Linked DNA regions of Rattus norvegicus. The protein of the gene in region 1 interacts with the protein of each later gene in a pairwise test. Links are inferred from orthologs where the notes say so. Each region holds a gene or a part of one and is shown on either strand. Other genes may lie near its edges. The genes, in order: Epas1 and Bmal1.

What was found.
Region 2: the proteins of Epas1 (region 1) and Bmal1 interact in binary tests that used the Homo sapiens proteins (3 or more experiments, as listed by UniProt). The link is inferred for Rattus norvegicus from reciprocal best matches to the Homo sapiens genes EPAS1 and BMAL1.

What each region holds. Positions count from the first base shown.
Region 1 is NC_086024.1:13,544,685-13,548,496, reverse strand, and holds the end of Epas1 (endothelial PAS domain-containing protein 1), read left to right. Parts: intron 1-600; coding exon 601-727; intron 728-903; coding exon 904-1,018; intron 1,019-1,210; coding exon 1,211-1,384; intron 1,385-2,883; coding exon of another isoform or gene 2,884-3,040; coding exon 3,041-3,192; 3' UTR 3,193-3,467; downstream 3,468-3,812.
Region 2 is NC_086019.1:176,846,230-176,850,041, forward strand, and holds part of Bmal1 (basic helix-loop-helix ARNT-like protein 1), read left to right. Parts: intron 1-2,004; coding exon 2,005-2,154; intron 2,155-3,812. UniProt on the Homo sapiens protein: Transcriptional activator which forms a core component of the circadian clock.

The DNA.
Region 1 (3,812 bases):
AGGGCTGTCTTAGTGCCCCCAACCTGATGGCTGTCTACCTTTGGGTCATGTACGGGCCTCGAGCCCCAAAGTCCTTCGCAGACCTGCCAGCACCAACAGAAGAGAGTGGGGCTTTCTTACCTGGGGCTCATCTTTGGGCACAGATAGATATTATCGTGTTCTACCCATAGTCCTGTGCTTTCTACCTGGCCAGGCTCCTGCCCAGAGCCTCTGGGGATGTGCACAGGCACCTGCATCTCCTGTCTTCCCAGTAAGGGACAATCCCGGAAGCTGGTGTGTCTTGTCTGTAGCACGTACCCTTTGTAGAGCACCCCAGAGGGGCCTCTGCATGGGAGGCATAGATCCTTGTAGAGACTGCTGTCATCTAGCTGGGCAGGACCAGGGTGTCCAGGAGTGTGGAGAAAGGTACAGGTGACTGAACTCTTGAGCATCTTACAGAAGGAAAAGCCGGACTGCGGCTGCTCAACCCTTTGGCACTCTGCCCTCTGGGCCCATGACTTGTCGACCTGTCGTAGTCAGAAATATTGGATCCTGGGAAGACAGCAGGCAGCGGGAGGCTCTAGACTCCTCACACCCCCTCTCCTCTCTTGGCCTTGGCAGGTCTGCAAAGGACTTTGGGGCTCGAGGCCCATACATGATGAGCCCGGCCATGATAGCCCTGTCCAACAAGCTGAAGCTAAAGCGCCAGCTGGACTACGAGGAGCCAGCCTTCCAAGACACAAGTGGGGTAAGCCATGCCTTGTGAATGAACACCCGGGCATCGAAGCCTGAGGGCACGAGATGAGGCTAGGGCAGAGATGCAGGCCGCTCTGGTGCTGAGCACTGCCTGTGCCCGCTGGGTCTGCGAGGTACTCCACTCCACACGCGGGGCTCACTTTCCCCAACATCATGTCACATCTGCAGGGGGACCCTCCAGGCACCAGCAGTTCACACTTGATGTGGAAACGAATGAAGAGCCTCATGGGCGGGACCTGTCCTTTGATGCCTGACAAGACCGTCAGTGCAAGCATGGCTCCTGGTAAGCAGGCCTGGCCCAAGGGTCTGATGGAGGGTCGAGGACCCCTTCCCTGAGCCTTGTCAGAATAGATTATATCCAGGCCATGAGCAGGCTCCAGGTTCTGAGACCTTTACATGAAAAAGAAAGCAGGCTGAGAGCTACTGTCTGTCCTAACAACAGCCCCAGATTCACTCTCTGGCTTGGATCCTCCAGATGAATTCACCCAAAAATCCATGAGAGGCCTGGGCCAGCCACTGAGACACCTGCCACCTTCCCAGCCACCATCTACCAGGAGTCCAGGAGAGAACGCCAAGAGTGGGTTCCCACCACAGTGCTATGCCTCCCCGTTCCAGGACTACAGTCCTCCAGGAGCTCAAAAGGGGTCAGGTGAGTGCTTTGGAGCTCACACCATACCCAGGGTCTGATGCGCTGACTGACCAGGGAGCTGGGAGGCAGCCACTCTCGAAGCAGCTCAGCACTTGGATGAAGGACTGCCGGCCTTCAGAGCCTCCGCTTAGGTCTGAGGCAACTGGTTACAGTTCCTAGGGCTCTTCATCCAGTGAATGAGGGTGCTTCAGCCAGGACCAAGTCTCTTCTTTATCCCAGAGCCTGCGTGGTACCAGGCCCAAGACACATCTGACAATGACTTAGTCAAAGAATCCCTGGAAGGGTACAGGCCCCTCACTGAGAACCTGACATGAGAGAGAGGGGGAGGCAGGAGGGAGAGGGAGAGAGAGAGATAGGGCAGAGTACAGTTACTCCTGGCCAAGCAGGCTCCCCTGGGGCATGTCTACAGCCCCAACACCACCACAGGCTGGGGAGGCCTTGGGAGAAGGAAATGACTAGTGTGGCAAAGGGCTGTGAGGGACTTCAGATCAAGACAAACTTGCTGCTCTGGGAAGGTGTTCTGGAAGGCTCGAGAAGGAATCTTCCAGTGGTCTGTCAGGTCAGGTCTAGGCTCTCGACACCACAAGACTAAGAGGCCATGCCTTTTCCTCAGCTCCTCGTTGTCTGAAGTGTACACACACACCAGCTTTCTCTGAGAGCTAGCACAGGGGATTCACTGATGGGAGGGAACCCTGGTGACACAGAGGGCTCAGCTGTTGCCACTGAAGCACACACGTGTTCCCACAGATGCCTCTGCTCCTCATAGACAATTTATGGTTTGAGGAAGAAAATCCCAGAGCCTTGTCTAGAGTAGTAGAGTTGGGGGAAATTTATAGTGCTGTTCTTGGAATTCTGTCCGTGGAACCGCAAAGTCCCACCCCCACACCCCACCCCCCACCTCCCCACCCCCCACTCCCCACTCCCCCCACCTCCCCATCCCCCATCCCCCACTCCCCCCACCTCCCCATCCCCCATCCCCCACTCCCCCCACCTCCCCACCCCCCATCCCCCACTCCCCCCACCTCCCCACCCCCCATCCCCCACTCCCCCCACCTCCCCATCCCCATCCCCCAGTCCCCCCCACCTCCCCACCCCTGCTTGATATTCCAGTCCTACTGTTTACCAGCAGGTGGGCTGGCGAGTCAGAAGACTTAAAGAGAAACTTTAAAGTTTAAAGAGAGAACCACACATCACTCTCCCTGGTGTACACATCTGGTCAGCCGTAGTCAGCAAATGACAGGCTTCCCCAGCTGCTGAAACCGAAACAAAACTAATTTCAACTTAGATCACTTCTGCCCATAGTTTGAAAGCAGGGGTGGACTTAACAAGGGGCGAGTCATATTTATGTAGGAGTGCAGGCAACAGGGGGAAGGGTGGACTCCAGAAGGGAGAGGCCACTAGGACCGAGCTCTGTCTCTAAACTGAGAGAACCCTGCTGTTGATCCAGTCATCCTTGGATCTCAGAACCACTGTGATGCTGATGCGTTCTCTTCTGACAGGGAATGGAGCCCAGGGTGAGAGGGCCGCTGCACCTGAAGTGGCCAGAAGCTGGAGACACAGTTGTTTGTGTGAACGCCCTCCTCCCTGGTCATCCACAGTGGAGTCGGTACCGTGCTGGTTGGTCCCTTACAACACCCTCCTCTCTCCTCCTTTCAGGAGTGGCAAGTCGACTGCTGGGGCCATCGTTCGAGCCTTACCTGCTGCCGGAACTGACCAGATATGACTGTGAGGTGAACGTCCCAGTGCCTGGAAGTTCTACACTCCTGCAGGGGAGAGACCTTCTCAGAGCTCTGGACCAGGCCACCTGAGCCAGGGCCCGTGGCCGGGCATGTCCCTGCCCAGCCATCTCGTCCTGCCAGCTTCACTTCTGTCTGTGTTGCAATTAGGTATCTCTAACACCAGCACACTTCTTACGAGATGTACTGGCCTGGCCTACTGGCCAGGCCACCAAGCCGTGGCCTTCATCTGACATGCTCACTTTACTCTCCATGTTTTAAAAACACATGGCTGTTTTACCTGCTATGTTTTACTGTTGATGAAAGTGTTCTGAAATTTTATAAGATCTCCCCCTCCCTCCCTCGAATTACTTCTAATTTATATTCCCCAAAGGTTTCTCTCTCACATTCAGCATCCATTCTAACACGCATGGTGGCTGTCGTCTCTCCTTAGGGAGGCTTTGGCTTCGTTCAACTAAAGTGTTCTTGTCCTTGTTGCCAAAGAGAAAGGATTTTCTTTCTAAGCTCCGCCGTGGGTTCTCCCTCTTCCTACCCCCCTCTGTCCCACACATATTGTAAAATTTAATGTTTTTAAGGCCAACCTTTGCTCCAGTTTTCATACAACTTATGTAAGCGATGTGAAGGGTCAGCTCTAGGGCTACCTGTGAAGCCACTCGGTGACGCTTACACAGTGGCGCTTACGTGGTGGCGTT
Region 2 (3,812 bases), on another chromosome or scaffold:
AATTTATAACTTTCTAATAGCATATTCTTAAGTTGAGAAGGCTCACACTGTCCGGTTCTCCCAGAACAAATCTCTCTGTCTCTATCTGTCTCTCTCTCTCTCTCTCTCTCTCTCTCTCTCTCTCTCTCTCTCTCTCTCTCTCTGTGTCTCTGAGTCACACTTAGCCAGTGTTTCTTGTCCTCTGACCGGGTCCTTTACTTCCTGCAGCCAAGGGTCAGCATTCTCTGGCCCCAGCTCTTGTTCCCCACAGTCATTCCCAGACCAAGACCCAGGAGCTGGCCCAGTGGTTGGCTAGGTGCACATCCTGCCTCCACCATTCACTGGGGGTGTGGCTGTGAGGAAGTTGTTCACCTCTCTGTGCCTCGGTTTCCTCATCTGTAAAACATACATTTTTCATTGGGTAGTTGAAATGTGTAAGAATGTTGACTTTTCCCAGCATGGTGTAAGTGTAGCACTGGTGTTGGATCTGCGTGGGCTCAAAGCATTTGGCATATGGCTTTCTTGTTGCTCAGTTCTCCATGTTGATTGGTGATGGAGATGGTGTCAGAGAACTCCCTCAGGGTACCTCTTAGGAAGTTGCATTTCTCCATAAAAGCAAACATTGGCCCTAATGCCTGTTGCCTTCTGTAGGCTGGCTTCAGCACCTTCCAGTGACTGAAGGAGAAAAAAAATGGATGACATTTTGTCCTTGGGGCTCTTCCCACATGGTCAGGAGACAGTGACTCGGGCAGCACCCTGCAGGATAGTTGCAGCTACAGCAGTAGTGACAGGCATGGGGCAAGAGGACAGGCACCACTGAGTCTGTGTTGGCTGAGGTGTGTTTGAATAGATGAGTTAATGGGTATCAGGAAGGGAAGAGGAAACATCCCGCAGAGATGAACCTGTGTGGTGTCCTAGAGCCTGTTTGCTGCCTTTACAGCAAAATGTGTAGGGAGAAAGATACAGTGAAGGGCACTGAACCAATGTGGGAGGCTTGGGCTGGCATTCTAGAGAAGTTAACAGAGCCAGTTTGGGAGAGGCAGTAGGGAGAGGGTCCCTGGGCAGTGGTCACTGCTTGGCATGGCTGCGGTGCTCCCCCAGTGGTGTCTATACACCCAGCTTCCACAGCCATGAGGGGTGTAAGAGGCATGCGTATCAAAGTCACCCAGGAGCTTTCAGTAGCCTTGCTCTACCTGCAGAAAGTAAATGCCCAGCCCAGCCCAGCCCAGCCCAGCCCAGCCCAGCAGAACAAAATGGTAGCTTGGTATATAGTGCTTGACGGATGTGCCAAAGGCTGAGGGTTCCACCCACAGTGCCATGGTTGAAACCACAAGTCTGAACACAAGCCTGTCTAGTTCAGGGTTTTTGGTAGCCCCAAGATTCAAAAGCAAGATTCAAAAGCTAATTATAACATCACCATCAATCTACAATATTATGTTGATGTAATTGTTACTAAAGATTTCAAGTCCTTTAACATTTCTTTGGTGCTGTCTCTGAAATCCTGCAAATACTTTACTCAACCCTTTTCAGTTCAGAAAAGCCTCATTCCATGTTCAGTGGCAGCCTGAAGCTGGCGGCTATCCTAGGGAGCAAACATCCACAATGGGGTCGACTGATCAGGGCCCCCAAGGGATTTTAACTCCAGTGAAGTTGAAATTTCAAGGCAATCTTGTGTCCCCCACCCCCATTCCAGTATCTCAATCCTGTGAACCCTTTGGGTAGGACCCCAGACCCTTAGCCAGGAAGCAAGTGTCTGCCAGTTGGCACTGATCGTTAAGTTTCCCTGTTATCAGCCTCTCTTGGGATGCCTCATTTCTCTCATTTCCTCTGCTCCTGTTGGGCAGGAACTCTTTGCTGTGTTTCTCTTCTTCCCCTAGACAGCTTACACCACCTGTGCAACTGCACTTCTTACCGTCTGTAATCCATCCGCGTGACCGTGGGCCGGAGAGAACAGGGAGGTCATACTGCCCCTCCTGCGGCAGACAGTCCTGCCCTCCTTTCACCACGTTTTGTGTTGATTTGCAGCTGGACTTCCGGTTAAAACGGATATAACCCCTGGGCCCTCCCGATTGTGCTCTGGAGCTCGGCGCTCTTTCTTCTGTAGGATGAAGTGCAACAGGCCTTCAGTAAAGGTGGAAGATAAGGACTTCGCCTCCACCTGTTCAAAGAAAAAAGGTACAGTTAGCAGCCTTAAGAGAGGCTTACCTGGGGGCTCTTCACGAAGCTCCCCAGAGCGTCTGCTCCCTGGCCTGCAGCCCTGGCTGCCTCTCACCTTACAGCCTTCAGCAACCAGAGCGGGGAATGGGGAGCCCTGGAGCCCTGATGTGTTGCCATGGGGACAGATTTGTGAATAGGCTTTCTGTGTATAAATTCTGTCTATCCTGATGTGACTTGGGAAAAAAACACAGTCAGTCACAGTTCTGTCTCTTGAGTACCGACCCTTCTAGAATCCTCCTGGCCAATTGCCCTAGTGATCTCATGTGTTGACTGACTGACTGTTCACGGTTCTTGCAAAGTTCTCTCCCTGGCCCTTTGGCTTCCCCTTCTCTCTGCCCTGGGGCCACTCTCCTCTGTCCATATTGATGTGTCGATAGGTAATGTTACCCACAGGTCAACAGCTTCTAAGTTTACATTTCTACCTCAGCTTTTCTTTTGAGCTCCAAGTACCTCCTTAGTAAGCCTCAGGGGCGTCTCCAGAGTGGCCACTTGGGCCCTAACACGTACCACCTGCTCATATCACTGAAGGATATTTATTTATATCCAGGTATAACTAGAGATTTTTTAAAAATTATTTATTTTCATTTTAAGTGTTTGTGTGCAATATCTGTGTTTAATGTGCTGCCATTAGATCCCCTAGAACTGACCTCACAGATATGGGTTAGGATACGGGCACCATATAGGTGCTCACAACCAAACCCAGCTCTCCTGCCAGAGCAGCAAGCCCTTGAGTACTGAGTTGTTTCTCCAGTCATGGAAACAGACATTTTAGGACCAAAGCCTAGGCTCCAGCAGCTGCAACAAGCTAGGACAGGCCACGTGTCCCATTAGAGAGACAGGTGAAGATAGCAGAAAGATGTCTTCAATGTGGCCCCTTCCAAAGAGGAAGAGTCTGTCTGTTGGGGAACTGCCCTGTTCTTTAGGATGAAATAGAGGAATAATTGGAGCAAGGGTCAGGCCCCATTAGTTGTAGTCTGGGTGTGGTCTGGCTGAACACAGTCTCAGCTCAGTTTCTAAACATTGGGCCAAATCCATCCTTACTGTGATGTGAAGGCTTGGGACACAATCACTTCCAGGGTGCGGTGTTGCCTGTATGGGTAACCACCTCATTTGGGGTACACTCTTCCCCCTAGGATTCATTCTTCTGAAGTCCAGGGTGATGACAGGTGCAAGGCAATGATTTACCTCTGTGCCTTTGGTCAAAATAAAGGAGTCAGCACAAACTGAAGGCAGAGAATGTATGGGGGGGGGATGTGTAAGAGATAGAGAGAGACAGAGACAGGAAAACCCATGGTGTGTGTGTGTGTGTGTGTGTGTGTGTGTGTGTGTGTGTGTGTGTGTGAGAGAGAGAGAGAGAGAGAGAGTGCACACCATGGAGTGTGTGTGTGTGTGTGTGTGTGTGTGTGTGCGCGTGTGTGTGTGTGTGTGTGTGTGTGTGTGTGCGCGCGTGTGTGTGTGTGTGTGTGAGAGAGAGAGAGTGCACACCATGGAGTGTGTGTGTGTGTGTGTGTGTGTGTGTGTGTGTGTGTGTGTGTGTAGGTCAGAGGACAGTTTTCAGGAGTTGGTTCTCTCCTTCCACCTTACTTTGAGGTAGGGTCTTGTTCCTGGTCACAGCA